4 linked regions of the Arabidopsis thaliana genome follow. The protein of the gene in region 3 interacts with the protein of the main gene of each other region in a pairwise test. Each region holds a gene or a part of one and is shown on either strand. Other genes may lie near its edges.

The links.
Region 1: the proteins of AT2G16030 (region 3) and AT1G05640 interact in a protein complementation assay, tested with the Arabidopsis thaliana proteins (one large-scale study listed by BioGRID).
Region 2: the proteins of AT2G16030 (region 3) and AT1G11330 interact in a protein complementation assay, tested with the Arabidopsis thaliana proteins (one large-scale study listed by BioGRID).
Region 4: the proteins of AT2G16030 (region 3) and SWEET9 interact in a protein complementation assay, tested with the Arabidopsis thaliana proteins (one large-scale study listed by BioGRID).

The regions. Positions count from the first base shown.
Region 1 is NC_003070.9:1,685,226-1,693,361, forward strand, and holds AT1G05640 (Ankyrin repeat family protein), read right to left. Parts: upstream 4,731-8,136; 5' UTR 4,277-4,730; coding exon 3,673-4,276; intron 3,574-3,672; coding exon 3,164-3,573; intron 3,081-3,163; coding exon 2,211-3,080; downstream 1-2,210. Other genes in the region: 5PTASE13 (Endonuclease/exonuclease/phosphatase family protein), read left to right, coding at 94-402, 489-756, 902-1,025, 1,123-1,483, 1,566-1,928; AT1G05650 (Pectin lyase-like superfamily protein), read right to left, coding at 5,039-5,266, 5,377-5,605, 5,754-6,043, 6,464-6,901.
Region 2 is NC_003070.9:3,806,957-3,816,445, forward strand, and holds AT1G11330 (S-locus lectin protein kinase family protein), read left to right. Parts: upstream 1-2,838; 5' UTR 2,839-3,415; coding exon 3,416-4,733; intron 4,734-4,827; coding exon 4,828-4,935; intron 4,936-5,022; coding exon 5,023-5,216; intron 5,217-5,302; coding exon 5,303-5,513; intron 5,514-5,611; coding exon 5,612-5,849; intron 5,850-5,919; coding exon 5,920-6,070; coding exon of another isoform or gene 6,071-6,097; exon of another isoform or gene 6,098-6,151; coding exon 6,152-6,460; 3' UTR 6,461-6,853; downstream 6,854-9,489. Other genes in the region: AT1G11320 (GDSL esterase/lipase), read left to right, coding at 285-395, 507-974, 1,077-1,772; AT1G11340 (G-type lectin S-receptor-like Serine/Threonine-kinase), read right to left, coding at 7,160-7,474, 7,558-7,702, 7,781-8,018, 8,116-8,326, 8,431-8,627, 8,716-8,835, 8,985-9,489.
Region 3 is NC_003071.7:6,971,267-6,978,229, reverse strand, and holds AT2G16030 (S-adenosyl-L-methionine-dependent methyltransferases superfamily protein), read left to right. Parts: upstream 1-3,222; 5' UTR 3,223-3,338; coding exon 3,339-4,034; 3' UTR 4,035-4,557; downstream 4,558-6,963. Other genes in the region: AT2G16040 (hAT dimerization domain-containing protein / transposase-like protein), read right to left, coding at 636-1,477, 1,907-2,213; AT2G16020 (uncharacterized protein), read right to left, coding at 4,644-4,874; AT2G16019 (uncharacterized protein), read right to left, coding at 4,948-5,058; AT2G16018 (uncharacterized protein), read left to right, coding at 4,712-5,113, 5,610-5,651; AT2G16016 (uncharacterized protein), read left to right, coding at 6,962-6,963.
Region 4 is NC_003071.7:16,304,182-16,311,632, reverse strand, and holds SWEET9 (Nodulin MtN3 family protein), read left to right. Parts: upstream 1-3,270; 5' UTR 3,271-3,426; coding exon 3,427-3,472; intron 3,473-3,701; coding exon 3,702-3,738; intron 3,739-3,812; coding exon 3,813-4,023; intron 4,024-4,154; coding exon 4,155-4,316; intron 4,317-4,403; coding exon 4,404-4,523; intron 4,524-4,614; coding exon 4,615-4,815; 3' UTR 4,816-5,142; downstream 5,143-7,451. Other genes in the region: EMB2799 (NAD(P)-binding Rossmann-fold superfamily protein), read left to right, coding at 1-167, 408-501, 795-905, 1,013-1,102, 1,228-1,313, 1,397-1,461, 1,543-1,652; EULS3 (hydroxyproline-rich glycoprotein family protein), read right to left, coding at 6,297-6,298, 6,536-6,764, 7,136-7,258. UniProt on the Arabidopsis thaliana protein: Mediates both low-affinity uptake and efflux of sugar across the plasma membrane. Nectary-specific sugar transporter required for nectar production by mediating the secretion of sucrose from the nectary parenchyma to the extracellular space.

The sequences.
Region 1 (8,136 bases), on a different chromosome or scaffold from region 3:
AGATGACAATGCGATATAGATGTTAATTCAAATTTAGTTCTCTATGAGGTACTTGTTCCGTTTACACGCATTAATGTCCTACTTGTCAAATAGGGAGGTGTAGGTCTGAGAATCAGAGTTTATGACCGAATAATGTGCTTTGTGAATTGCCACTTGGCTGCACACTTGGAGGCGGTTAATCGCAGAAACGCAGATTTCAATCACATTTTTCGATTGATGGTCTTTTCCCGAGGACAAAATCTAAGTAACGCTGCAGCTGGTATGGTGCCGTACCTGTTTTTGTCTTGCTCACTTGGCTTTTCCACATATTTATTTTGGCTGCTTTATTCTTCTGGTTTGCCATGGGCCCTCTCTCTTGCAGCTGGTGTCTCAACTTCAGCTTATACAACAAAGAGTAACACTGTATGTTCTTATCATATCACCTTTACTCCTGAGTTTATGTTGTTTGCTCCTTAAATTTGTATTTAACATGTTTCTCTGTTTTCCAGATTCCAAGCACCGGCGCTGAAGAAATCAAGTCTGATCTTGCAGCAGCAGACATGGTCGCATTTTTTGGCGATTTCAACTATAGACTGTTTGGTATAACCTATGATGAAGCAAGGGACTTCATTTCACAGCGATCCTTCGATTGGCTCAGAGAAAGAGACCAACTTAGAGCAGAGATGAAGGTTGGAAAAGTCTTCCAAGGAATGCGCGAGGCATTAATCACTTTCCCTCCCACTTACAAATTTGAAAGGAATCGCTCAGGCCTTGGAGGTAAAAGTGGATTTGATACATAAGATATGAATTTGAAAAAATTGAAGCAGTTTTGCTCTGCTCTGTTCTCTGCATTTTTTCCTCTGTTTTGTAAGAGATGGTGGCTCCAAAAAAACTGAATCTTTCTGTGCTGTGTACTCTCCAGGATATGATTCAGGGGAGAAAAAGCGAATTCCTGCGTGGTGTGACCGAGTTATATATAGAGACACTCAATCTAGCCCATTCTCTGAGAGCAATTTGCAATGCCCTGTAGTTTCATCAGTCATAATGTATGGTTTCATGACGACCTTTCTGATGTTTCTCGCTTTTTCCGGTCTCTTCAATGTGTTTTCTCCATTCTAACTTCCCACCTGCGTGTTTCAACAGGTATGAAGCTTGCATGGATGTTACTGAGAGCGATCACAAACCCGTGCGCTGCAAATTTCATGCGACAATAGCTCATGTTGATAAATCTGTGCGGAGACAGGAACTGGGGAAAATAATAAGGTCTAATGAGAAGATTTTATCCATATTCGAAGATTTAAGATTTGTTCCAGAAACTTCTGTGAGCACCAACAACATTGTTCTTCAGAGTCAGGACACAGTCATCCTAACAATCACAAACAATTCACCCACGAGCCAAGCCATATTTAACATTCTGTGCGGTGGCCAGGCTGTAGTTAAGGATGACGGAGAAGATGCTGACTACAATCCACGAGGCTCCTTTGGTCTACCACGCTGGCTCGAGGTATTAAATTCTCTTTTGACGCCAAATGAAGATTCTTGTAGTATTCAAGATTTAGTGATATACAAGAATTTTTTTCTTTTAGGTTTCTCCCGCAGCAGGGATAATAAATCCAGAAGGATCCGTAGACGTTAAAGTTCATCACGAAGATTTTTACTCAATGGAGGAATATGTTGATGGCATCCCACAGAATTGGTGGTGCGAAGACACTCGAGATAAAGAAGCAATCCTGATGGTGAACATTCGAGGAAGCTGCTCAACAACATTGAGAAGCCACTCTGTCAAAGTCCGTCACTGCTTCTCAGCCAGAGTATGTCTCCTTGAGAACAGACCCACGAACCTAACAAAGAACTTAGGTGGTTCACGTCGTTACCCAACAGATATTACCCGTAATGGAAGCACTAGACCAAGAACTGAAGACTCGGTTAGACGAGGTAAAAGCCGGTGATGAGCTCTTGTGACTTTGACAGTTTTAACTAGATCTTAGAGCAGAAGAACAACAAAGTCATCACAAGACAAATGCATCAGGTGAAGAATCGCTTTTATTCATTCGTTGATTCTTTAGAAAATTCATTTTGTGTCAGAAATTGTAGATTTGCTTTGAGACTGTTCCTCAGGTAGCATGTATTCAACTTTTGTATCTCCTCACTTGAATCTAAACTACAGGTACGTGACCCATGTATACATTTGTTACTCTTACACTAAATTGCCTGTTCTGGAGATTTTAGTCTCAGAGTGCATACATTCTCTTGTTGAATTCGCCGTTGAGAATCTCTGACTCTGAAGGCATATGAGATAGTGAGAAAGATTTCGATTTGCTTCTCTCTTTCCTTAAGCTTTTCAGTTTAGATTCCTCGATCCTATGCATGACCACACAGTAACACATTGCACCTATCGTGGTTAGCATAATCGTCCCGCCAATAATCGTTGCACAAATCGCCAGCCAAATGTCCTCCTTACCCACAACGATAAACGAAAGAGAAACAAAGGCTACGGATATGAACAAACAAGCCAACCACATGAGCTTGTTGATCACAAACACAAGATTCTTCTTTGCCTTCTGCTCAATCACCACAACTGAAGTCTGCACCACAACAACAGCCAAAGATATGAACAGCGCCAAGCTGTCAAATATGAAGAAGACTAAAAACGGGGCTTTGCCGGCTATGCGGGCTTCTCCTAATAACAACAGTCCCTTTGTTCTGTCTTCTTCATATTGCCCAGGAATGGTGAAGATTGCTGCAAATGCAACTGTTGCAATTAGGACAGCCACAACGGTTGCAGAGTTTATAGCGTTGTTTAAACCATTGATGTGAAGCTTCTTCAGTCTCTTTGCGATTCTCCGCACCCTAACACCCGTTTGGCGAGACTGTTGGAGCTGAGACTGTACCTCGTGTTTAATGTCACTGACCGTTTGGTTAAGTTGCTTAGCCGGGTTTCGAGGCTTCCCAAGATCTTTAGCTGTTGCAGCTCCTGCTTCCTTCAGAACCGACACAAGCTCTGGATTTCCAATCTTTTCGGCTATATCAAGTGCAGTATCTCCAGCCTTATTCATAGCATTAAGGTTAATTCCATCAAATGATACCAAACATCTCACTATCTGCAAGCAAAGGCAAAATGCAGTTCATCAGAATTCTTGTAGATTGAGAAACTGAGGGGAGGGGGAATTAGCGATGATGATACCTTAATACGGCCTTTGTTTGTGGCAGTGTGCAACGGCGTATTCCCTTTACTATCCTCAACACTCAAAATCGCAGGATCAGGTTTCACCAACTCAAGAACAATCCCTTCGTTCTGACCTTTGACAGCCATGTGAAGCGCTGTTTGTCCCTTCTTATCAGTTCTAAACCCGATGCTTGCATCATTACCTATCAAAGACTTAACCACTTCTCTGTGCCCCATTCGCGCTGCAGAATGAAGTGCGGTTTTACCATTGTTCTTAGCTATCTTAGCTAAATGAGAATCCGTCTTTAAAAGAAGATTCACCACATCAGTGTGTCCTTGTGAAGCAGCCGTGTGCAATGCAGTTGTACACGATAGATCCACCGTCATAGCCAGATTCGGAAATGTCTCCAACAATTTCTTCAATGCCTCTGCAAAAGACAGCACACATTCAAAGATATATGTCAAGAAGGTGTACAACAATAACAAGGTCTTCAAGTTATTATCAGATTCTCTAAAGTTTCATTTACCAATATGGCCTTGTTTTGCAGCGACATGGAAAGGATCAAAACCGTTGCGAGCTTTAACTGATGCAGTATCAAGATCCATATGTTTCAACATCTCTTCAACAACTAATGAATGCCCATTTTCTGCTGCACTATAAAGAGGGGTCTCTCCTTCTAGATTCTGCTTTGATGACAACTCCTTCAACTCTTCAATGCCGTTACAAGCTCGAATCAATTCCATAACCTTTCCCAAATTCCCCGTTCGAGCTGCGAGATGAAGAGGAGAATCTCCTCTTTTACCAGGTGAGTCAGTCTTCTTCTTCCTCTCACCACCAACATTCATGAAACTTAACTGTCTCTCCATTACTACCCTAAAGCTTTTCTGCTTCTCAACAAACCCACGAAAGCTTCTCTGCCTCTCCATTGCCCTCTCCTGTTTCTCCATTGCTCTTCCTTTGATTCCATGTTTCTCAACAACATTCACAGCTAGGAAACTAACTTGCTTGTCCAAAGCTCTTCCCTTTCTCACCTGATTCTCTGCACCAACGCATCTGAGACTCTGCTGTTCCTCCACAGAGTTACCTCGAACGCTCTCTTGCTTCTCCATAACAGGAACCAGAGAACTCATGGTATGCTTCTCCCTTAGATTACACAAAGATCTTGAATAACAACTTTTTCTCCCAAATCTGAAAGATGCCAACTTTGTTTGAAGAATCCGTGAGCTCTTTTCCAGCAACCCGTGTTTCGTAATAACAGAACCAGCTTGAAAATGGAAAACCCTGACTTCCCTGTGATTTCCAGATTTCTTGTAAAGATTCAAACCGATGTGATGAAAGAAGAGAGAGAAAAAAAAAAAAGGTTGCAGCTGATTTCAGTAGAGTGTAGCTGAAACCCAATAGATTGATTTGTAAATCTCAATGCTTTTTGTGGGCAAATCATGTAAGATTCTCAGGATATAGAGATAGAGAGAGAGACTGTGATGAGTGACTGCATCTTCAGCTGTTTTCTTTATTAATTTCGCTAAACTTCCAAAATCTTTAGTAATATTAGTGATTACTTTTTCTTTTGAGTTTTGAAGCAACAAATTCTTAATTACTATGTCAATTATCTCCAGTTTAAAACTTTATATCCAGTTAAAGCTTCTTTTCTCTAATTTCTTTATATTTTTGTTGTCCAAATCAAAGACCAAAAAGCAAAAGCACAATGTGATGGTGACAACAAGTCAAAGTCTTCCACTTTGTTGGTTACTGAAAATAATATTTTATTAATAAAAAAAAAAAAATTGTATGTTACAGAAATTGGTGATCATATACCTTGTTACAGAAAACTATTTGAAAAATCAGTTTCCTAATAACATTTCACAGTGATATCATCTTAACCCCAAATAAATTCATCGATTTAGACAACTAGTAGGTTGAATAACACCAAGATTTTTCCCAACAGCATTGAAGCACAAGGAAGTAGCAGGAGTTCCTTTGTTGTAAGTAAGCTTTATGTCTTGTAATGTGATTCCCGTGCATGGATTGCTCTTGCTACACACCAGCTTCATTGCTTCCTGCGTCGCCGAAGTTCCTTGTATGTTCTTGTACGTCACTTGGGTTATCTTCACCCCCGAATGCTAATACATACCATAAACATAATAAATCTTTAGTTATTTGACTAAGTTGATAATTTGATATAGCATATTTGATTAGTCTGAAATTGATCAAAAATATGATATGGATATACCTCAGTAGGGCAACCTTGGTTGGACGGACAATAGTTTTGGTCGATTATGATAGGGTTTTGGACGTTCCTCATGATTAGATTTTGAAAGAAGACGTTTCTAACGAATCCGGTACTCGGCCTCGCCCATGACTTTATCCTCACGCCGTTTTGTGATCCGGTGAATACCGAACTCGATACTGTCACGTTCTCTACTCCGTCTTCGTTTAACTGCTTTGCCAAACTCCCGATGCTGCCAGTCATCACATCATCATATGAGTTGTGACCAGAGTGAGTGAAGGCAATATTGCTAGTTTTTTTTTTGTTGGAAATTCATGATTCCTAACAATTAATGATATATTTACATAATTTACTCTAAGGAATTAGACGGTGGTGTATACCTAACCCCGTGACCTGGGCCACAAGCAAGCTTGGAAATTAGGAAGTTGCGGGTCCCCTGACCGATAGCAACACAATCGTCTCCGGTCTGAACGGTGCTTCCGGTTAATGTGACTCCAGTGGAGAACTGAACGGTGAAGCCGTCAGTGTTTGGGCTGTCTCCGGGAGCCACCAGCCTAATGTTACGGACGGCCACATTGGTGCAACCGTTGAGGGTCATATGGCTAACCTGGCTGTTCATCGATTTCACTCCACTTATGATCACGTCTTTTGCGGAGTTGAACGATATTGACTACAGTAATTAATATATAAACGCCATAGATTAATAATAAGATTATAAATATTTCATTTTATTTTGACCAAAGAATCCATTTCCTTGTCCAAAAATCATTATCATAATAGTTATTATATGCTTATAAAATAAATTCCTAAAAATGGCATGGATAGATCATATTGAAAATTAAATGTGCCTGAATTAATATAGTTGAAAACTATCAACTAATTCCTTTTTTTTTTTAATCGTAAGTAAATGATTGGAATAAAGATATGTTATTTGACTATTAAAAAAAATATATTGACTTATTTAGTTATTACTAATCAATAATGATTAAAGCTATTTGTTGCTCTTTTGCATTCTGGTGGCGCTTATGTATGAATGTCAGATTGTTGTTTTTATTTACAATAACTATAGATAGAGGAGAAGCATATGTACCCTAACACCGGGAGGACAATTCTGGCCAGATTTCCGGCAAGACCAGAACCCACTACCTCGAGCGTCAAAAGTCCCACCGACCAGTGAGAATCTGTTAACCTTGTTGAAGAGAATCCAGGAACCGGAATTGCCAAAGGTCCTATAATCTTCCGGAGCAACGACGGTTCCGGTCACTTGAAATGTGATTTTGCTCTTGCATGGCCCTCCAAACGTTATTACCTTCAACAAAAATGTCCCCGTGGGGACCACCACCGTGGCTGATGCTGCCGAGCCACAAGCCCCTTGCCATGCCTTTAGGAATGCTGCTGTGGAATCGGTGACTCCGTCTGGTTTGGCCCCGAAGCTCACGACGTTGAAAACAATGGAGGCGCTGCTCGAGACATCGATGAAGGTGAGAAGTGTGAAGATAAGTGGAAATGTTATAGCTGATTTTGTCATTTTTTATATGTGAGTTTGAGTTTATGTTTGTGTTTGTGTTTGTGTTTGTGTTTGAATTGATTTGATTTGATGCATGGGTATATATAGGGAGAGAGAGCATAATTATTTTGGTTCGTTATTGGAGTCTATGGTACAATTAAGTACATGTGATATCTATATGATAAGAGGTTGTGAATATTTTATGATTGATAAAAGAGTTTACATTTCCAATCATTAGGTGCACACATGGTTGATATCGTACTTTTAGGAGCAACGGTCGTTGTATGAACGATGACATTTTTGCACATTATCAATTTCCCATATAACATGGGCCATATACGTATGTGTATATGTATTATATTCTTGGTACATGTTGTTTTTATATATTGATGAACAAAATAAATACGTGGAAACCCACTCAGCGATTGATTAGAACATAAACCGTATATAACGTTAATTCTATAGAGAACCAACAATACTAAATGAAGAAAACTATCATTTGTGCATAAATAGAAACTCAGCCATAAACTAAGAGAAAGAAACTCAACCAAAACCCCTATAGAGTGCAGAGTTGATTTTTTTTTTTTTTTTTGTTATCGACACAAAATTTACAAACTCCTGAAAGAACTACCATAAAAATAGGAATTCTTTATAAAAAAAATAGTAGTAACAAAATTAAATGAATAATATCTATCCTAATCTTTAGAGTATTCTTTTTATCAATAAAGTATTACTTTTCTCCAAGAAGGTAAAATGATCATGGAACAAAATCCTTAAAAACTTTAATTTTATCAAAATTTCAACAAAGAGAAGAACAATATAATCCATTAAAAGAACAATTTGTCATCTGCCATTTCCTTGCAGCTATATGCAAAACTTATGTTTTGGAAGTATTAGGAACACTTTCAGAACCAAGATTTTCTGATCGAAGGCCAATATAAACAAACATTAAGTAGTTGAGCAAATCTTACAATCTTTCGATTTGTACATATATGCACATTACGGGTGAATGTTGTTATAGTTAGCCATTTTATACTCTCTTTTTTTTTAACGACCATATACAAAACGGTAATATTGTGAAATTAAATTTAAAATGTAGGTAAAAAGTGATCAAAATATGTATAAATGACGACATCACCTCATTTTTATATGAGATGACATGTGATCAACTTAGCAGTTGACCGAAAAAAAAAAAGACGTGTGATTAACTAGCTCACAAATTATTGAAACCAACCCAATCATATTCGTTAATCATT
Region 2 (9,489 bases), on a different chromosome or scaffold from region 3:
AAAAGAAAAGAAGAAATAATCAGAAATAATCAATTGTTCTGGTTTTAGGTTGACCAAACTCTTTAACCGAAATAATCAGAAATTCGAAAATAACCGAAACGAACCGACGTAAGAAACCGGATCGTCCAATTCCAGATTTTGAAACCAAAATCCAAACACATAAACCCTAAAACATTTTCGCATCTTCTCTATTCAAATCCTCTTATCATCGATAGAAATGATCATCACTGGGTTCGAAATTTTCTAGAATCTTCAAGCTTTCCTTACCAGTTTCTGATTAAAAGATGGACCCAATTGCTTCGGTGTTGGAGAAAGTGAAGAGCTTTACGAAATCGAGCCAGGATTTAGTCTCCCGCCATTTCGGCTTCCATGAGAATCCTTCTCGCCTGAATCCGGTATCGTTATCCATCCCCTTTACTCATTTTGTTCTTAAAATCAACTTTTTGTTTGAAATGTGATGTTGAATTTGAGTTTCTGCATTGTTGGTTTTGGGAATTATGTTGCAGATTGATATCTTGAAGCGATTACAAAGAGAAACATTCTCGGATTTGATGAAACTTAGAGAAAGACAAGAGAAAGTAGAGCGGATCATTTCCTCGCAGAAATTATCGAAAGGAGGTCCCTTTCAAGAGACTAGCACTCATGTGAGAGGTGAAGTTGATGTGCTTGGAGCTATATTGCTGATGGGAAACACTGACGAGGAAAGTTTCAATGGACTCAACAAAGAAGGAGTGAGACCGGGATTGCTTTCAAGGTTTGTGTTTGAAACGAGTCTTAGGGAGACAGATAGGCTTGTGGCTGAGCTTGTTGCTGGATACAATGGGGCAGGAAGTCACAGGGATTTTTTAGGAGGAGAGTTGTCTTTAGCCAAAGTCTTCTACAAGGCAGATATTAATGATTGGTTCTCTGCTATTGCTATTCCTGTTGGCGCGCATTTCAGAGACATTGAGGCTTCTACTGTGTCTTCTTACCAGGTATCCACCAATCGTTGCAGATTTCTGTTTCTATATTTGTTGTGTTTCTCATAAATAATCGTTATTGATAAAACTACAAATACAACTACCTTCGTCTTGCAGGGAATGAGTCTCACAGAAGTTTCTGAACTTGGACCACCTCTTTTAAGCCAACATAATGGGAGCGCCATAGGGTTAACATTCAGAAAGTCAAATATCACAGCTTCACTGGCTCAGTCTATGTCAAACGTTGAAGTTGAACAGGGTTTGACTGCACCGAATCGTTGTTTCAGAACATTTGGGCAAGTAACCTGCCACATTCTCAGAAGTTTAAAGCTATCTCTATTGGGCTGTCACCAAGTTTTAACATCATCTAGCAATCTCCATTCTGTTGGAGCCATTACAGTTCCAGTAAGTTTCCTAAGGCGCCATACTGCTACGGAGCCTGAACCATCAGCACCGCCTCTGGAGATGAGTAGAAACATGAATCATGTGTCGTCCAGTTCCATTGCTTTGAAGTTAGACTCTCTAATGGACGAGTCTACAAAACTTGGGGGATGGATTGAAATTCAGAACTCAAGAGAAAAGCAAGTGAAATGGTCAGTGTCTATTACAGACAACCCAGAGGATGAAGTGGGCTGGGGCATGAGCGTTGGGGGAGTTGTTGATGGTTCAAGAAATCATGATCAGTTTCAGGTGGAATCATATCTGAAATTCAACATAGGCGATAGGTTTAGATTAAGTCCATGTCTTGTTTATCACACAAACAGTGACGGAAGAACCATAGGTCTTATGCTAAAGTCTCACTGGTCGCTGTGATCTCAAGTTTACTCATTACTTGTACATTGATGGTTCGAATTACCACTGACTGCAGTTTTGAGATTTTTGTGTCTAATGCAATTTATTTGTCTGAAAATATTTAATGTAGCTGCCATTTTTGTGCCTTGAAGATAAAAGTTTATTGTCTATCATCGCTTAGAAAAATCTTTGTTGTCTTGTTAGTAATTGTTTCCATCTGTGTTGGAATAGTACACTAATTTGCTTTTTTTTTTATTGTAATGGTAACAAATGTCGTAATGCTTATTTATGCTTAGGGAGAAGTAGAATAACTGAAGATTGATCTATGATTAGTATGTCTTGATTGCAACGTAACATAGGTTGTGGCATTTTAAAGATTATTTGAAAGAATTCTTCTTAAACAAGATGTGACTGTACAACAGTTTGATTGATGTTGTCATGTTGAGAGCTACGTTGTGACCCTCTGTCTCATGAACATACAAATTCTCTAGACTTTTCATCTGTCGAAGTCAATGACCTTTTTCTCAGGTCTCATTTGATACAACAAAGTCCTATGCAGAACGCAATGGCAATATGAAAAAAAAAAAAAGAGAGGTAATTTTGTTCTCCATTTCCCTTTTATTTTTGCTCAAAGATTTGGCGTTTTGAGTCAATTAGACTTTCTAATAATACTAGTTTCGGCTTCTGTCGTTTTAGATGTCATTACTCATCAGTCATCATTGTGATTTGTGAATTGTGTGGCTTTCATTGGTAAGTAAAAAACTTAGAACGTCCATACAAAAAAATAACATGTTACCAATATAAAACAAATTAGGCTTCACATAACAATTGTATCAAGGGCAATATCCCCACCTAATTTCTCTATTCAATTTTTTGTCACCATCTAATAATTCTTTAAAAATTGCAAATTTTGGCCTCGTGGCACATTGTCTCGTATTTGCATGCAAAGTCAAAAGTATGTGTTGTTCGATAGAGACCACATCCTTTTTTAATACAAGATAAATTTGTTTGGTAAAAACCTTTCTCATAGTTTAAAAAAAAACTTTCTATTCCGTTTCAACTGAACAGAAATCGAATCTTTTGTACACTTCGTTTAGGCATTTCATGTGATACATTGTGTGCTTGCCTCAACAAATTCCAAATTAGCTACCCACAAAAAGATTTGCGACCTAATCCAATCTAGAACGGCATGACATAAACAAATTCAACTCAAATTCCTCAAACTTTAACGACGGCAAAACACCAAGTGGGCTGTGAAACACGCGTTCGTTTGTATCACCAAGAATGAGAACAGAAAAAAGTAATATTTGTTTTCAAATGCTATAATCTGCAAATAAAACAAGTGTACTCGAAATGTATAAACAATGACCCCATTGAAATCGCACTAAGGCAAGTAGTCCTCTCGCTTTCAATCGTTTCCTCTGCATTTAAAGAAAAGTCAAGATTGGTGGTTTATTCCACTCTCACTGCTAATTGGTGGGCTATTCAATGAATCCACCTAATAACATTATTACTCACACCAAAAACAAATCTTCGTTGAAACATAAAACTTTTACATCATTTTCTAAGTCAAGTCTTCTCATAGAGACAGAAAAAGACTACTAATTTACCTCTCGTGTAGGAAAACAAAGCAAAACTGGAGTCATTCTCTGTTTCAAAGAGTTATGGTGGTTTCAGTGACCATACGTCGTCGTTTTGTTCTTCTTCTACTTGCATGCACTTGTTTGTTGTCTCGGAGACTCTGTTTTGGTGAGGACAGAATCACTTTCTCAAGTCCTATCAAAGACTCAGAGTCAGAGACCCTTCTATGCAAAAGTGGTATTTTCAGGTTTGGTTTCTTCACTCCTGTTAATTCCACTACTCGGTTACGTTATGTTGGGATTTGGTACGAAAAGATTCCAATCCAAACTGTGGTTTGGGTTGCTAACAAAGACTCTCCCATCAACGACACTTCCGGTGTTATCTCGATCTATCAAGATGGAAATCTCGCGGTTACCGATGGTCGAAATCGCCTTGTATGGTCGACGAATGTCTCAGTACCAGTAGCTCCAAATGCTACTTGGGTTCAGCTTATGGATTCTGGGAATCTTATGTTACAAGACAACAGAAACAATGGTGAGATTCTTTGGGAGAGTTTCAAGCATCCTTATGATTCTTTCATGCCAAGAATGACTCTTGGCACCGACGGTAGAACTGGAGGTAACCTAAAGCTTACTTCTTGGACAAGCCACGATGATCCTTCAACAGGAAACTACACAGCTGGTATTGCTCCTTTCACGTTTCCTGAGCTTCTTATCTGGAAGAACAATGTCCCAACGTGGCGTAGCGGACCGTGGAACGGTCAGGTTTTCATCGGTTTACCGAATATGGATTCACTTCTGTTTCTTGATGGGTTTAATCTTAACAGTGATAATCAAGGAACGATCTCAATGTCTTATGCTAATGATTCGTTCATGTATCACTTTAACTTGGATCCTGAAGGAATTATTTATCAGAAAGATTGGAGTACTTCTATGAGAACTTGGAGGATAGGTGTAAAGTTTCCATACACAGACTGTGATGCATACGGTAGATGTGGTCGATTCGGGAGCTGCCATGCCGGGGAAAACCCGCCTTGTAAATGTGTTAAAGGGTTTGTTCCAAAGAATAACACAGAGTGGAATGGTGGTAATTGGAGTAATGGATGTATGAGAAAAGCTCCATTGCAGTGTGAAAGACAGAGAAATGTAAGTAATGGTGGTGGTGGAGGAAAAGCAGATGGTTTTTTGAAACTGCAGAAGATGAAAGTACCAATCTCTGCGGAACGGTCTGAAGCTAGTGAACAAGTTTGTCCTAAAGTATGCTTAGATAACTGTTCTTGCACAGCTTATGCATATGATAGAGGAATTGGATGCATGCTTTGGAGTGGTGATTTAGTTGATATGCAATCATTTTTGGGAAGTGGCATTGATCTTTTTATTCGTGTTGCTCATTCAGAACTCAGTGAGTGAAATATATCTAGTAGTTCTCACTTTGTTTCCTTCTCCATTTTTGTTTTCTTCACTGACTTAAGTTTTTACTTACCAACTTTTTGTAGAAACACATAGCAATCTAGCAGTTATGATCGCAGCACCTGTGATAGGCGTTATGTTAATTGCTGCGGTCTGCGTTCTTTTAGCATGCCGGAAATACAAAAAGCGTCCAGGTTAGAGTTTTGTTTATTCATGAATGTTAGATTCTGATTGTTTCTTTTATCATAATTGTTTTGCTTCATTGATCATTACCTTAGCAGCTCCAGCGAAAGATAGAAGTGCAGAGCTAATGTTTAAGAGAATGGAAGCACTTACAAGTGATAATGAGTCTGCTTCTAACCAAATCAAGCTCAAGGAGCTTCCACTCTTTGAGTTTCAAGTGTTAGCTACATCAACTGATAGCTTCTCTCTAAGAAACAAGCTCGGGCAAGGCGGGTTTGGTCCTGTTTACAAGGTAAAATCATAACAAAAGAAGTTTTCTGGAGGGAGATATGTGTACAAATTATCTCAGACTAAGTGATTGGTAATCTTTTTTTTTAGGGAAAATTACCTGAAGGACAAGAAATTGCAGTGAAGAGGCTCTCACGGAAATCAGGTCAAGGACTAGAGGAACTTATGAACGAAGTGGTTGTGATATCTAAGTTGCAACATCGGAATCTAGTGAAGTTACTTGGATGTTGTATTGAAGGTGAAGAAAGAATGTTAGTATATGAATATATGCCAAAGAAAAGCTTGGATGCATATCTTTTTGGTAAACTTATCACCTCTAACTCTCTTTTTAACTCTGTTTATACCGTTTGGCTCGGGATGATTATTGAGAAGGCTAATGTTTTTGCTAACTTTTCTCAGACCCAATGAAGCAAAAGATTCTTGATTGGAAGACTCGGTTCAACATAATGGAAGGAATTTGCAGAGGTCTTTTGTACCTTCACAGAGATTCAAGACTAAAGATCATACACAGAGATTTAAAAGCCAGCAACATTTTGTTAGATGAGAATCTAAACCCCAAGATATCTGATTTTGGACTTGCAAGAATTTTCCGAGCGAATGAAGATGAAGCTAACACAAGAAGGGTTGTTGGAACATAGTAAGTATCCATTCCAAAATACACAACAAACATTACGAAATTCGGTTTTATTCAAATATTGTTATTGCAGCGGCTATATGTCACCGGAGTATGCAATGGAAGGTTTCTTTTCAGAAAAATCAGATGTTTTCAGCTTGGGGGTTATATTTCTCGAGATCATAAGTGGGAGAAGAAACTCTAGTTCTCACAAGGAAGAGAATAATCTCAACCTTTTGGCTTATGTAAGTGTTACAAAGCAGTGTTTTTAGTAACTTATGGTTAATCAAGATTCGAAACTTACCTTAAAGACTTGGTTTTTACAGGCTTGGAAGCTGTGGAACGACGGTGAGGCTGCTTCTCTAGCAGATCCAGCCGTCTTTGATAAGTGTTTCGAGAAAGAGATAGAGAAATGTGTTCATATTGGACTGTTATGTGTGCAAGAAGTTGCAAACGATAGACCAAATGTTTCAAACGTGATATGGATGCTAACTACCGAGAACATGAGCCTCGCCGATCCGAAGCAGCCAGCGTTTATAGTAAGAAGAGGAGCTTCTGAGGCTGAATCTTCTGACCAGAGTAGTCAAAAGGTATCTATCAATGATGTGAGCCTCACAGCTGTAACAGGACGTTAACCTCACCACCACGCCAATCTCAGTCTGTTTATATACATAATAGTATGTAATATACACGTTTTGAGAAACTCCTATGTTTACAAATTTTGTTATCTGCGTCTGTGCAATGGTTAGATTACTGAAATAAGAACAGAGAAGTTATTTTCAGGTTTATGAACTTTGTTGAAACTTGACCTATTCTTACATATAATCAGATTTTTGGAATTAACTAACCTGGATGAAGAAACTGAACCTGAAGAAAACAGGACAAGAACAAAAATCCGTTGTTCTTGAGAAAAAGCCACAGCACATAGGTTTTGTCTTGAGAAGAAAGAATTAAAACACAATTATTGGTTTTGTGTATTGGTTGCTTTGCTATAAGTATATGTATATTGGAACAAACTTGGATAGGGGATAAGAAAATAACATCAGTTTTGACTTTTTCGAAGATACATTAACTACATAACAACCTTGAATTTTCTGCACAAAATTATTTTATAGCAGCGAAGAAATTTCCTTTTTGTGTTTTGTTTTTAGCAATGGTTTTATTATTAGTCATTTTCTTTCTTTTGTTATCAGTACTTCAATAAATAAGTTTTGTCAAAAAACCAGTCTCATTACACAAACTTACAGAGTTAATAAGATTCCTGATTCCTGTAACTGATCCTCTAGTCTTCTTCTCTTCTTATACGAAAAAAAGTAAAACATTTGGAAGTTGTTTTAACGACCTTGAATGTCGCTGAAGGTAACGTCATTAACAGAAATACCGGTTTGTCCCTTAAGACAAGCACCATTTTCACCGCCTCTCCTTCTCGCGGAAGTAAACGCAGGATGCTTTGGATTCGGAAGATTAGTGGCGTTATGACCCAACATGATGACAACAGAGGACATGTCTACTCTGTCCGAAGCGTTTTCTTGCACACAGAGCAACCCAATTTGTATGCACTTCATCACTTCTCTCTCATCATAAGTCTCTTGGTCCATTAAATTGTCTATGATCTCTGTTGCTTCACCGTTTTCCCATAGATCCCAAATCTACAAGACGGAGAAACATACATTTACTTATGTTCTGTTTTTTTTCCTCTGTTTTTGTGTAAAATTTTCAGTTATGTACTTACATGTCCGACTAAGTTAGATGATTCCTCGTGGAAAGCACTGTTTTTCTTTCCGGTTATGATCTCTAACATCAATACTCCAAAGCTATAGACGTCGGATTTAATGGAGAACTGTCCCTCCATTGCATACTCCGGTGCCATATATCCGCTGTGCAACAAGATTGAAACAGTTTAAGGTTGTAAGATTTTGGACAGTTTTGTGGTGTTTCAGAAAAGAGTAACTCACAATGTTCCGACGACCCTACTTGTGCATCCTTCCATTTGGTTGCCCCCAAAGATTCTAGCCATGCCGAAATCTGAAATCTTTGGGATCATTTCACTGTCAAGAAGTATATTGCTGGCCTTGAGATCTCTGTGGATGATTCTCAGTCTTGAATCTTGATGAAGATATAAGATTCCACGAGCAATCCCTCGGACTATCTCCATTCTTTTTGGCCAATCCAACTCTGCTCTCTGCTCTTCATCTAGCATGATGATAAGAAGAAAGAAACAAGAAAATTCAGAGTCATTGATCTTCCTGAAAGGGAGAATTTGAACCTGAGTTAAAAATGTTGAACGTACGGAATATGAAATAGTCTAGGCTCTTGTTTGGTAAATACTCGTATACCAACATCTTCTCTTCCAATTCAACGCAACATCCTAAGATCCTCACGAGATTTCGATGCTGCAACTTTGATATCAGCTTGACCTCGTTCTTGAACTCTTCCATTCCTTGTCCCGAGTTTCTCGACAACCTCTTCACCGCTATCTCCATACGGTTTTGTAACACGCCCTAAGTAGAAACAAAGGAAACAATATTCCTTACTACTTATTGAACTTAATAGTGTTCTCTCTTGGAGGAGTATTGATGAAAAATGGATATTGCCTCTTCATTACCTTATAAACAGGTCCGAAACCACCTGCTCCAAGCTTGTTTTGGGAAGAGAAGTTATTTGTTGCTGCAACGATCGTGTTAAGATCAAATAAAGGTAACTCCCGGTTTCTCGCCTTGTCTTGTTCAAATCTAAATGATTCGTCAAAATCAAAAGGGACCGGGGCGAAGTTTGCCGAAGAGCTTCTATGCCTGTTTGACTCTGCACTTGAACATGTTTCAAGTAGTTAGTTGTGAGCTAAGATAGCAGCATATCATCTTAAGAGATTCATCATCAGATATTCACTTACTTCGTCGCTCCCTTACAACACAGAACAAAATGACAGTTAGTAACATTACGGCTGCAATCAAACTGATAAGAATCAGAAGGACTCTCCTCTTCCCTGATAAGCCATTTCTGTTCCACCGCGCTGAAACAAGCAAGAAACTCAGTATTTGAAGTACTTCGATACTAAACATTGACATGTTTCTTTATTCTCTTTGTTTTAATGAAACAGAGTGGTTGTTTTATGAAGAGCAAGAACGTAGAAAATAGGGATTCTCATTTATAGATGTGTACCTAACTCTTCCTTGTCTACACGTATGTAGAAATCTTGTCCCGAGTTCAAGTATGTCCTTGCATCCAACATACCACCATGCCATTTCAAGCATCCTATTGCTCCTCTTTTACTCTCGTGGTAAGCACTTGCGTAAGCGACACAAGAGCAGTTCTTCAAGCACCTCTGTTTGCACTCCTTCAATGTTATGTTCATATCCACACTTGCATCTGATGTGTCGGGAATCTTCATGCGCTTTAACTTCACAAACCCGTCTTTCTCACTGCATATTGAAGCTCTCTTTTTCTTTGTACACCCGCCAGAAGAGTCCCTCAAGAACCAATGCCGGGGAAACTTGGGCTCAAAACCAGGTAGGCATGTGCACTCAAACGTTTTTGAGCTAGGGGAATCACAGTAACCGTTAGGGCCACAATGAGCGTAGTTATCGCACTGCTCTTTAGGAACTGACCAGAAATCATTCCATCTCTTGTCCCTCGCAATCCATGTAAACCGGTGCATGGTTCCAGT
Region 3 (6,963 bases):
TACCAAGTGAACCAGTAGAAAAAGTCGATATTGTGATGTTGTAATTGACTATTTCGATAATTTAACCGAATCGAAACTGGTTCGATCTGGTTTAAATGAAGGGAAAAAAAAAGAGAGAAAAAGATGTAGATGTAAAAGGTCAAACCAGGCGCTAGTAGGCGCGTAGGGTAAAAGAGAGAGACTTAGACCACTGGGCCAAGTCGAGATTGTTTGTATAAAGAGTTATTTAATCATAGTTATACGGGTGAATCTAAAAAAAATCTATAAAATGCAGCGTGCAGCGGAAAGAATAGGACATTGTTTCCATTGGAAAATTTTCAAAGGAAATTAAATCATGGGAAAGCAGAAGAAAAGATGGAAGAAGAAGCAGAATGGTAACCCTAGATTTAGTGCCGGTCCGAGGATATTTGATGCTTAAAGCAAATTCAAAATTGATGCCCAAATATATTTTTTTCGCAAAATAAAATAATATGAAATTTATTTTGTTTAAGAAAATTGAACATAAAAATTGTTAACAAGAAAAAAAATAAATAGAAATCTCAGTTTTCTTCCTGGCGAAACATAATCCTCCTAGCTTTCGCTCCTGCAAATTCATTCATCAATTTTTGGTAATCGAGCTTCTCAACCAGTTCTTGTTATACAGATATCAGCGCCAAACCATTCAATCGCTCTTGAGACATAGTCGAACGTAGATATTTTTTTATGAGCTTTAATTTTGAAAAAGTTCTCTCCGCCAAAGCAACTGAAACCGGAATGGTGAGTAGTATACGATAAGCGATCCATGTGTTTGGATAACAGCTATCCATTATTTTCAAAAATTTCAACACTTCGACCGGCTTTGTAATCTCTTTTGGCAACACATCTTTTAAAAGTTTCAGCTCCATAAACAGATCTTCTCCATCAACATCTGAATGCACATCATGCTTCAAAGAAGCTTCAAGCTTCATACACGATGTCCTTAACTCATCATCTTCTGCTACCTTCAATCTCTTTACACCAAACAAAAATCCAAATATTTGTTCATATACTTGGAATTGCTCGAATCTTATCTCAATACACATTATAGCTTGATCCATTATATTGATGAAGTAATCAATTCTAAAACTCTCCTCTGCAATCTTACTTTCATCAATCTTCTCAACATCCTCAACAAATTGCTTTTTTTTTTTCACCGACTTTTTTGGAAATACCGGCGCAATCTTCATCTCAATGGCAATTTGTGTAGATTCAACTTTGGCTTTCTCGAAACCTGTTTCTTTGTAGTTTTTCAAATAAGTAACAAGCCCTCCTAACTGAGAAATAGCAACCTCAAGATCCATATCCTCAAACTGTAAGGATTTGCTTACTATATTCACAGCAGCTAGCAAATCGTACCAAATTATCATTCCAAATAAAAATTCAAACCCTCCAATTCCATGTGTTTCACTCTCTGTAAGAGACTCAACATCACTCCGGTGTCCTGGATTATCAGTGTATTCTGCCAAATAAAAAAGTGCATCTTGTATCTGTATCTTTGAAGCTTAATATCTTATTGGTTTAAGACTATCAATGCGGCTTTCCCAACGCGTTTGAGACAACGGTTTAAGTGTAATACCATTCACTGTTTCTCTAAACACTTCCCAATTGTTGGTTGAAGCTTCAAACAGACAATGTATTCGCTGAACAATTCCAAAAAAAGAAACAGCTTTCTTGGATGATGAAGCCATATCACAAAGTGCAAGGTTAAGACCATGGCATCCACATGGAGTGTAAAATGCTCTTGGATTTATATCAAGCAACCTTTTCTGAACTCCTTTATGTTTTCTCTTCATATTTTGTCAGTTGTCGTATGCTTGTCATCTTACATCATCAATATTCAACTTAAGATCAATCAATGCATCTTGAAGAGTCTTAAAAAGCCCCTCACCCCTCTTATCTTTGATGTGTAGAAACGTCAAGAAGAACTCCTCAATCTTAGGTGAACACGTTGAAACATCCACACATCGAATTAAGAAGGTCATTTGTTCTTTACGACTAACATCCGGAATGGAATCAAGAATGACTGAAAAATACTTCGCATCTTTAATCTTCTTTAAGATCATCATCTTGGTATCATTAGCAAGTAATTCTGTCAATTCATTCTGACTCTTATGACTGGGAAAATGGCAATGAATTTCACCTTTATTAGCCCGCCGAATGTGTTCCTTCATATCCGAATTAAAACCTCCAATCATTCTAATAAATGCCAAAATATTTCCACTATTTGGATCATCAACATTCTCTTTAGTTCCACAAAATGCTAAATTTTGTTTAGCTAGAGTCTTTACCACTGCAATTATTCTCACCAATACATCTCTCCAATGTTTTTTCTCCTTCTTAATTGCCTATTCCATATGGTTATCAATTGTTTTACTCTTTTGTAATCTCACTTCTAGCTCCATCCAATGAGTCATGGAAATAATATGACGATGAGTTGTTTCATGTCTTTTCAGCCTTTGCGCAGCATTTTTCCAGTCATTATACCCACTACTTGCTAACAATGTAGGATTTGTTTCTTGATCGAATAATTAGAGAGAAATTCGATCCGCTGATTTTTGAGGAATATTTGAATTTTGATTCTAAAAATAAGTGAATTCGAGTTTTGGTGACAAAGCAGCGCATTTGTTAGCTGATTGTATTTTGATTATTGATGCTATATAGACATAGATTTGTGCGAAAATTGAGGAACAAGAGAGAAATTTGATCCGCTAATTTTTGAGGAAGATTTGAATTTCGATTCTAAAAATAGATGGATTAGATCTGCAGCGTTTGTTAGTTGAATGTGTTTCGATTATTGATGCTAAATATACATAGATTTGTGCCAAAATGAGGAATTAGAGAGAAATTCGATCCGCTAATTTTTGAGGAATATTTGAATTTTGTTTTTAAAAATAGATGGATTCGAGTTTTGGTAACAATCGGCGGTGTTTGTTAGTTGATTGTGTTTTAATTATTGATGCTAAATAGACATAGATTTGTGTAAAAATTGAGGAACTGAGAGAAATTTGATTTGCTAATTTTTGAGGAATATTTGAATTTTAATTCCAAAAATAGATGGATTCGAGTTTTGATAACAATTCGCAGCGTTTGTTAGTTGACCATGTTTCGATTAATTATACTAAATCGACATAGATTTGTGGAAAATTGAGGAAATAGAGAGAAATTCGATCCGCTAATCTTATATGAATATTTGAATTTCGTTCCAAAAATAGATTATTTAGAGTTTTGGTAACAATCAACGGCGTTTGTTAGGTGATTGTGTTTTTATTATTGATGTTATATAAACATAGATATTTTGATCGGAGTTTTGATCGGCGACGATGGAGAGAAACGTCGAGAAGATGCTGAAGAGAGTATCAATAGTGTTCTTAAGCATCGGAACAGTATTAATGGTAATTATGATTCTCCAGACACCAAAAACTTGTATTTCTCCAGAAGCTCCATCGAAACCTCATACGCATTTCCCGAGATCTACATGCGATTCATCGCCTCGTCAGCATCTTCCTCTCCCAAAGAAGAACGCTCGAATCTGGTCCTCTGGAGCTTGGAAATCTCGTCTATACTCCTTCTCTACCTACTTCCTCCGATTTCGCGATCTCGGATTCATTCAAAATCACACCAAAGCTCTCTGTCTCTCCGCCGGAGCAGGCCATGCTCTGATGGCTCTTTCTCAGATCGGATTATCTGATGTTACCGCAGTTGAATTGGTTGATTCGATTCCTCTTGTGAAAAGAGCTGATCCTCATAACCTTCCGTTTTTCGACGGTGTCTTTGATTTTGCCTTCACTGCACATCTAGCTGAAGCTCTGTTTCCGTGGCAGTTTGTGGAGGAGATGGAGAGGACGGTGAGACGTGGCGGATTTTGTGTGGTTTCGGTTGATGAATGTGGTGGAGATGATGTAAGAGACATTGCTAGGCTTTTTCATAACTCCAAGGTCGTTGATGTTGCTAATGTAACCTTAGAAGGATCCAAAAAGACTAGTATACTATTCAAAGTTCAAGACTCTCCTACCTGAGGTGTTTTATTTCTCTTTTGATTTATAGGCCCTTTCCGGATTCTCAGAAAACTGCTTCAATATTCATAGAGTGGAGCTAGATTTGTTTCTGTTGAAATTCACTTACATGTTTGAAAAGCAGGAGATTTAACAGATTATGTGGTAACATTGTTCAAAGACCATGACCATATTTGTTCTGGATCCTAAAGCAATGTTTTGTTGAGGGAAGCTGCGATGTTTGTTGCGAGTTCAAGATCCAGAACAAAAGCTTTCTACAGGTTAATATCTTTTTTTTTGGAAGTTGGTCTCTGAGCTAAACAATTCTTAGGAACCTTGGTCGCTTTTGAAACAAGTAAAGAACTTTCAACAGCTTTTGAAGACTTTAGTGTGTGATGAAAGAAAGTACTTTCTTTCCAGGTGAGGTTCACGTTTCAATCTGTTAGAGCTCTCCTGTGTACTATTTGTGAGTTAAGTAAAATACTCTTTAGTCATTTTGTATACTTAGAAAGAACAAAATTCTTATTGGTGAATAAAAGGCTCTTACTAAAAAAAAAAAAAAAAAAAAAAAAAAATTTTCTCTCAAGCAAGATAACCAAGGTAGCCGCAAGCCTTGTTCGTGATTAGTTCTCTTCACCGGCGTTGCTCCTCTGACTGCCTGCGTTCCTGATTGTAGCTACTACTAAAGTGAGATCTCTCCAATGAATCTACTTTTCCGGTGGCGTAATTGTTTTCCGGCGAGTCTTTCACTTGAAATGACTTTCCTTTTTCTCTCGAATGCGAGCCACTCTCGTCGCTTACCGTCGTCTTCGGTCGCCTTCCTCCTTCTGAGGCCACCTTGTGCACCACCACCAGAGCCTCCATCTCCGCCGACTCCACCGGAACCACCGGATCCACCAGATTCTCAGATCTGCTTCACTTTTGCTGATTCTTATGCTCAGTCGTTGAGCTCCTCTTCCCTCCCAGATTTGGTCTCGCTCATTCTCCATATCTCCTCCGCCATATCTGAATCTCCGTCACCGACCTCTTCGATCACTGATTTTTTCATTGATGTTTTCCTTCTCGCCGACGACACCACTTTTCTTCCTCAGTATTTCCCTCAGGTTTGCTCTTACTCTTCGCCGTATGTTTCTTCTAAGATTGGAAGGGTTTGGTTGTTGATAGAGTTTGTGGCTCTGGTTTTGTGGAATTTGGGTTTGTGTAATTCATATGTAGCTTATCTAGTTTCGATTGGCTTGGATACTTTTGTGCTCTCTTGTAGCACCTCTATCGCTTTGATGCGATCACTTACCACAATATGTGGATGTCTTAATTCGCCTTTGTTAAAAGTTGTCTCATCGCAGCTTAGACAGAATGTTTTGGATACTTTTGTGCTCTCTTGTAATACCTCTATCGCTTTAATGCGATCTTTTACTGCAGTATGCGGATTCTATCTCGATTTGTTTTTGTTAAAAGTTGTCTCTTCGCAGCTTAGACGGAGGGCTTTGATTTCAGACAACCTACCAGTTTTTCTGGTTCATTGGGGATTTCATAGCCCTCATCTCTCCTTTATGGAGCTTTTTATCCTCTCAAATACTTCACTTGTGTTTAGTGATAAAGTTACAGGGAGCATTGTGTGCAATACTGATCTGCTTGAAGTAGAAGCGAGGATTGTTGTTCAAGACTGTTCTCATTCAGCCTTTGCCGATTGTTTGACGTTAGTGTCATTGGAGGCTTTGTTTCCTCCTTATTGTGGTTTCGACAAGGTCTTCCAAGCTAAAGGTGTTTGCTTTTTTGGATGCTCTTGGTTAGTTGCTGCTTTGCTAGAACCTTTGGGTTCACCCTTGTCCCCAAGTCTCTTTTTGAGCATTGTTGTTGCTAGCTTTCGCTTATGTTTGATCTCTATGTTTGTCGATGCTTTAGCTTTTCCGACTTGTTGTTGCTATGTTGTATCCTCTGTTGGTAGAGGTTAAAACTCTTTCTCTTTTATGATAAGATAAGTTTGCCCAAAAAAAAAAAGACATAGATTTGTGCGAAAATTGAGAAAGTAGAGAGAATTTCGATCCGCTAATTTTTGAGGAATATTTGAATTTTGATTTCAATATAGATGAATTAAAGTTTTAGTAATAATCAGCGGCGTTTGTTGGTTGATTGTGTTTTTCTTATTGATGCTAAATAGACATATATTTGTACGAAAATTGAGGAACGAGAGAGAAATTCGATTCGCTGATTTTTGAGTAATATTTGAATTTTGATTCTAAAAATAGATGGATTCAAATTTTGGTAACAATCTGCGGCGTTTGTTAGTTGATTTTGTTACGATTATTGATGCTAAATAGACATAGATTTGTGCAAAAATTGAGGAAATAGAGAGAAATTCGATTTGCTGATTTTTGAGGAATATTTGAATTTTGATTCCAAAAATAGATGGATTCGATTTTTGCTAACAATCTGTGGCGTTTGTTAGTTGATTATGTTTCGATTTTAGATTTCTATTCGATAAGTGATGCTAAATAGACATAGATTTGCGCGATTCGCTGATGAATTTTTGAATTTCGATTCCAAAAATAGAGCGCTTGATTTTTTATTCTGAGTAAACTAATTTTGTTTATGGAAACTCATATCTCTCTGATTTGGATAATTTCAGATCGGACTGAATTTAGAGGACGGCATCAGAAGAAGAAGGAAGGTGGCATGCCTAACACATACAAGGCATGTCACGGTTTCGACAAGTACGTACGCTTCATATATAGGTGATTTAGGTGACAGCCCAGGACCAGGAGGAGCTGGGCTTTCTTCTTAGCTTTTCTATTGACAAAGATCTCCATCTCAGAGATTCTCTCGTGCTATCTACTCTTTTGGTTTGCTTGCTTTCTTAAACTGCGGTCATTGAATGTCTTGAAAACCCACTCTAGATACTACTGATAGTGTGATTGTTTCTGCTGCGTTTGTCTAGATTGTTTGCTTTGTTGAT
Region 4 (7,451 bases), 9.3 Mb from region 3:
CCAGAGTCTCAAATCTTTGGGCAGACAGTAACAACAAATCATCATGGTGAGTTGGAGAATTTGGGTATCAAACCATCTCTTAAAGGAACCGAATATGGGGGAAAGTTCTCCTATGTGATCTTTTGTGCTCCACCATCACAAAGCGCTGATTATGCTGGTGAAGTCAGGTGATTAATTACAAAAAATCTTATGTTTTAATAACTAGAAAGTCAATTTATGCATTATGATCTGTTAGTGAATGCCAGAAATGTCGACTATTGTGCGCTTGACTTTATTAGCTGGAGAAGAAAAATGAAGCTAAACGTCAATTTGTGCTTTTTAGTTCATCCTATGTGACAACAGTAAAAACATTTGCCTTCATTCAACTGTCTAATATGTGTGTATGCTTGTGTTTACAATCGGATCAGGAATGCAGCATCAAACTGGAATGGCGAAGGATCATTCTTATTCACATCTAGTTCTGCACCTTATGATTGCTTTGATAACGGAGAATGCAACGAGGTTTGTCTCAGCACCTGAATACCTATTTTCTTTCAGTTTTCTCCATCCTAAAATTCCTAGTTTTAGACTTTAACACCACATTTAGTATTATTCTATATCAAAGTTGTTTAACACAATTACTTGTTGAGGTAATTTGGGGAAAAGAGTCTCTCACATTTAAAATCTATGAAAATCAAGTATACAATCAATAAAAAAATTTGATATTTGAGACCACAATGCAAATTCTTGTTCATTGTGAATATATATATGTGCTATTCAATAAGAATTTCTAAGTTCGTTACCCTTCACTGCAGGATTCTCCAGTAGTGCCACTGGGAAAGAGTCCAAGAACTGATGTGCTTTTGAAAGCTGAAAAAGTAGTGTTGGAATGTGGAGGGACTGTCCTTAGACTAGCAGGGCTTTACATATCCTTTTGGATTTCGATACTGAAACTGAATGAGCAAGTATTGAAAGACTTTTTTCTTGGTCTGTAGAAGATTTGAGCATTATGTTTCTCCTGAACTTTTTATACACAGAAACTAGAGGTGCACATACTTACTGGTTGAGTAAGGAGACAATTGATGCTCGTCCTGATCATATTCTAAATCTCATACACTATGAGGTATATTTGTGATTTTGTTCACTCTCATAACTAATTAGTTGATCTGCAGATTGAACTCATTTTCTAGAATGGCAGTGTACTATACATTAGTCTCTTATCAGGTTCTCTAATGTGTTTTTGAACAGGATGCAGCATCGCTGGCAGTTGCAATCATGAAGAAGAAAGCCGGTGCTCGGATTTTCTTGGGTTGTGACAACCATCCTTTGTCAAGGTAATGCTGCTTTCGTTCTAACTTTGAGATTACTTTCTAACTTTTGATGAGACATCAAATGTTTGACCCCTCACTCTTCTCAGGCAAGAGGTGATGGACCTGATGGCTCAAAGCGGAAAATTTGATAAGAAGTTCAAAGGTTTTACAAGTGAGTTTCTTCAGACATTGACATGTAGTTGTCTTGAAAAACCTTAAGCTTCATGGAGTCTGACAACTTTGGCTTTTGTAGGCACCAGTGGTCCTTTAGGGAAGAAGCTGAACAACTCTAAGACACGAGCGGAGATAGGATGGGAGCCGAAGTATCCAAGCTTTGCCCAATTTTTTGGAGTATCGACATAATATTTTTACTTGGATTGATTAAGAATGTCTCTAGCGCTGAAGAATCCAATAATGTGAAGCATTATTTATGTTTGGTACAAACAAACTCATGTATCCTCTTGAGTGATCAAACAGCTGAAATTTTCAGAATTCTTCATAAAGCTCCATGGTTCATATATATAAATCATATTTTGTTAATTTACTTAATACAGTTAGCAAATGGGTTGAGAAGTAAATAATCAACGCAAACTTAATCAGTTTGAATAAAATATATAAACGTGGTTAGATCATAATAATAAAGCATCTTATAAATCATCTAATTAGATGGATTTTAAAGGTTTCTGTCAAGATGTAAAAGCTTGTGTCTTGTTCATTACCAAATTAAGATTCTAACAAAGAAATAGGCCAAACATACGAGGCCTCAGGTATGAGCCTAACAAACACATCCATGCCTCCATCTCACCCACATAATTTGATATGAAGGTTTCATTATACCTTTATTAATAAAAATACTTAATTCATTAACATGTTCACAAATCATCTCATTGGTGATATGTGCAAGCAAATAATCTTATCAGTTATCACATTTGGTTTCTTAACACCAGTTATGGAAGGTTGTTATAAGTTACACAATGTCTTATAATTAGGGTGATGGCCCATCACTGATGGGTGATGTTTTATCTATATATAAAAAAATCTTATATTAATTTGGCTATATACAAACATTGAACCAGATTCAGAGGGTTGCTAGGCGTATGATATGTCTGAAGTGATTAATTCGACTTTAAGAAATTTGTAGCCTAATGCAAAAATACTTTGTCGGATTTAGAAGGCCTAACAATTAGGAACAACACCTAATGCAAGACGTTCCAACCACCTGATTATTTATTTAAGTTAAATGTCACTAAATTTCTAAACTGCTCCGCAAGTTTTAGGGTTCACACAGAGTTGACACTTTTTGCATTGCATTTTGGGCCTTCATAGAGAGATGAGGAGTAATTACTAATTAGCTTTGTTTTCCGATAAAACTTGTGAAGAAATGAAAATGATATGTATATGTCTAAGAAAATCACCAAAGCTTGAGACAATTGATCTCATCCTAAAAATATCTCACATTATGCAACAAAATGTCTCCACATGTTATATTTACAAAATCATGAGTAACTTGGAGACGACATTGCAAATTAACATCATTGACATCAGTAGATACTCCATCGCAAATTGTCAAAAATCACAGCTCCATATTTTCAGGCCTAAAATTAACCACCGACCATACATCCCGTATTCTTAATATCGATATTGATTTTAAATGAAAGGAACTCATCGCTTAAGACAAAAAAAAAAACAAAAAAAAAAACAAGAAAGAAATTCGAAGTTATGGTTTCCTCGATCAGAACAAGTATTAAATTTGCATTAAAATTGGTTTAATAAAACGAGAAACTAAAGAATTTGCTGGTTGGCAAACTAAGAAGTCAGAAGTCACCAGCAATTTACAGCCAATCAGCTATGCAAAAGTTATACTATTTGCTACTGAGTGATCACATTATATTGTGCAGAAAAAAATAAAATCCAGGAAAACTTGAACCAAACTTTTGTTTTTTTGTTTAAAAAGAGAAAGAAAGAAAATTAAATAGGGGACAAAAATGAAAATGCAAGAATGACTCACTTTTTTTTTGGTTTAAGGGTTTATAAGAATGACTCACTTTTTCTCCAAGACCAATATAAAATGGAGGTTTGCATGAAGAAACTATAATTCAAAGCAGTCAACTAGCAAGAGAAAGAGAGAAAAGTGAAGATGTTCCTCAAGGTTCATGAAATTGCTTTTCTCTTTGGTCTCTTAGGTAATTTATTTCCCTTATTCTTTTATGCTTTTGAGTTATGGTCAGAATATGTAAATAAAATCAACAATAAAAGTGACGTATCATATATTTCCAACAGAGTATACATGTTCTTTATTTTTTATTTTTTATTTTTTGAACAACAGAATACATGTTCTTTATATTACTTAACATTTATACCCAAAATAAAGAAGTTCATAACACTAATATTGATTCTGGCTTTTGTTTTCAGGCAACATTGTGTCTTTTGGGGTGTTCTTGTCACCAGTGTAAGTTTCTAACTCGAAATGCTATATATTAAAATAGTTTATATAAAGTATTTGATTAATTATACATATTTTAGGCCAACGTTTTATGGGATATACAAGAAGAAATCATCAAAAGGGTTTCAGTCGATACCGTACATATGTGCACTAGCAAGTGCAACTCTTCTTCTCTACTACGGAATCATGAAGACACATGCTTATCTGATCATTAGTATTAACACCTTTGGATGTTTCATTGAAATCTCCTACTTGTTTCTCTATATCCTTTATGCACCAAGAGAGGCCAAGGTTCCTATAATTATATATTTCTATTTATAGTATGGTTGATATTTTTAGTATGTACACCTCTAGTTTCAAAAATCTTGATTGTGATGAAACTCTATATCTACAACTAATTAATCTGGTGGTACACTTGGCAGATATCCACGTTGAAGTTGATAGTGATATGCAACATCGGTGGACTTGGTCTCTTAATTCTTCTAGTTAATCTTTTGGTTCCAAAACAACACCGCGTCTCGACCGTTGGATGGGTTTGTGCTGCCTACAGTCTCGCAGTCTTTGCTTCTCCCTTAAGCGTCATGGTGATGATCCATCTATCAGCTTTTCTTCAAACATCTGCCGTTTTTTGTAGTGAATTGGAAATTAATATACAATGTGTAATGTTGCAGAGGAAGGTTATAAAGACAAAGAGTGTGGAATACATGCCGTTTCTTCTCTCCTTGTCTCTCACTCTTAACGCCGTCATGTGGTTCTTTTATGGACTTCTTATCAAAGACAAGTTCATTGCTGTAATATTAATTGACATTTTCACATTCATCTTTCAATATTCTAACTAGTTTTTGGTTACTAATAAGTCTCTCTATGTCGCTTTGTATTCAGATGCCAAACATTCTCGGTTTTCTATTCGGTGTAGCTCAGATGATACTATACATGATGTATCAAGGTTCCACGAAAACGGATTTGCCAACAGAGAACCAACTAGCAAATAAAACCGATGTTAACGAAGTCCCGATCGTGGCCGTTGAATTGCCTGATGTGGGATCAGACAATGTTGAAGGATCGGTGAGGCCAATGAAGTGAAGGGCAAACATGCATGGGGAAGATGTATGGGAGACGACATGTTATCGTATGTTGGAATAATAAACTTTAATTTCTATGTTTTGTCGGTTTGAGTCGGTCTAACCAAAACCAATGTTATATTGTTTTGACTTTTGATCATCACCAACCCTTGATAAAAGATAATCTAGTCTACGGTATTTAAGTCTATGTCGATGCGTACCTAAGCTAAGCTCCATGGAACTATCAGTTAAAATGCTTTAACAGTTGGAACTGAAAAAAATAATCAATCTAATCCAAATGGTTGTACAATCAACAGATGGAATAAAATATTTAGATGAATTTTCATTATTTATTTATTTATTTATAGTGGAACCACAGGAAAAAAATATTATAACTAATTTTGCTTGAAAAAGTTGAATTATAAGTTTTCTTTAATACATTGTTGGATATAATCACATTATTCTTCTATAATCCTATCCCATTTATGTGATCTATTTTATTCATCTTTTTACTAATTTCTCCCACTTTTTATTTTGGTCGGCACTAATTTGCTCTAAGGCTCTAACAACAACAAATCTTTACCATAACCAAGTTTTGATGTCGGCACAAAAAAAAGACTGAATGTGTCATAAATGGTTGCGTTGAGAGTTGAGACGTGTTGGTATCCTGCATGATTGTGCCGTGAGAGTCTGACTCATGCAGCAAGGACCTCGCTTTTCCGCAGCCACAGAAAAACAAGCTGATTGGTTCTGCTTTATGATTCCATTATTGAGCTCCCAAGAAATTGAATGTCATTTCTACGTTAGCTAATGGTTGTGTCGTTTTTTTTTATGGGAGTAGACTTGGTAGTGATAGGGCCAGATTTTTCATTTACCATTTCCCAAGAAACTGACGTAAATTTTAGTAATCTACAGTCCAGCCAAGAACAAGTTTTTGTCTATTTTATCGTTAAATTTTGTTATCTGATGATGACAGATTTACAGATAATATAGTTATCTTTTATAATGATCTTCGCTAAATTTATTTATAATCTGCATAATTCAATCACGTCGTCGAAGATTTCCGATAATTCGTAGTATTTTATAAGAATCAAATCTCAAGATATATTGTAAAAATCCTAAATAAACTTTTAGTCCAAGCAAAAACTGTACTCCTTCACAATTTAAAACAGAGACAGCTATCACAGAAATGCAAATAAACGTGCGCGAAAGTCTGCTAAAATAAACTAATCAACATAATTCGATAACAATCTGTCGTTTATATCTCCCAAAAGGAAAAAGAAAGATCTCAAAATAGATTAGGAAAAAAGTATACACATATAGACAGTGTATGTAATGTATCTGTAAAAACATACTTGGAATACAAGTAAGATAGATTACAGATGCCAACAGCACAAACTCAAGTCTTTACAAGACACAAACAATGAATAAATCTGAGTTTTGTTTCTTTCTTATTCATACAGCACACACAAAGGAACTTTTTACCACTCCAGACGCCAATTTTCCTGCATTGACAAAATTCAGTTAAAAAAGGTTAATAATTTGGTTCAACATATAGTTAACTTAAGACTCTTGAAATTAAATCGAATCGAACCACGACGTCAAAGTCGTCGATACATTAGCCCATTAGAGTTCTAGCTCTGGTTTTGACCATTGCCATTTCAAAGTTTATCTCATGGTCTCTAGTTTGATGCAAGATTAACAATTTAAAAACTAAGCAGAAACGGTAAAGAAAAGCTTACAGAAAGGAAAGATCTTCCAGAGCTGGTTGTCGCCTTTGTTCCAGTCCCAGAGGACGATAGTCGTGCCATCACGTACACCACCAGATTTGCTGTCACCATGATATGCATCCACGTTTAGCCTCGTATTGTTTACCATTCTTATTGTGCGATATCCATCGCCAAAATCCTTGCTCTCTGTCCATAGTACTGACTCGTCAAGCTTATCAGGCACATATCGAATCAGATGCACCTGCAATACCCAATAAAATATTGCTTAAACACATCGAGCCTATCGAAAAAACACAATGCAGAATCACAGAAGTAAATTAGCAGACTTTAGTTAGAGTTTCTTCTAGAGACCCTAAACTTTCCAAGCCTACAAAACCATTCTCATAAATTCTTGATGCTCCTCTCTGTTTCTTTTCTTCCTACTTAAAGTCCCTACTAATGTTTTGATGTGGAATTTTCATAAGAAGTGAATAAAATGCACGACCAATATTTTTTTCAGGTCCCATTCAAGGTTATGAAAACTAACATTTAGCTAAGGTTGAGAAGATGTCACACTGGAAATAATGAAAGTCACAGGACAAAAATGACATCGTCTAAGAAAGAAACGCTTACGGGATGAGTAGCTCCCACAGAATGCTTCATTGCTTCACCAGTAGCTTTGTTTACAAGAGCAAAACAAGGATGACCGTCTGCGTCCTTCACTTTAGTACTATACTTCTCGTCTTTGTACCAATGCTGCGCATCCGAAACCATTTCATGAGTATGATATAACACATACATCAAAATTAGAAATGCCAGGATCAACAAACCAAAGACATGGACATAACAAGAGGATCAGGAAATTGAACCACAAACTAAATTCTAGAAGAACAGAGTAAATAAAAACTGAAACTTGTTTCTTCATTCTAAATCATGATCAACAAGATTC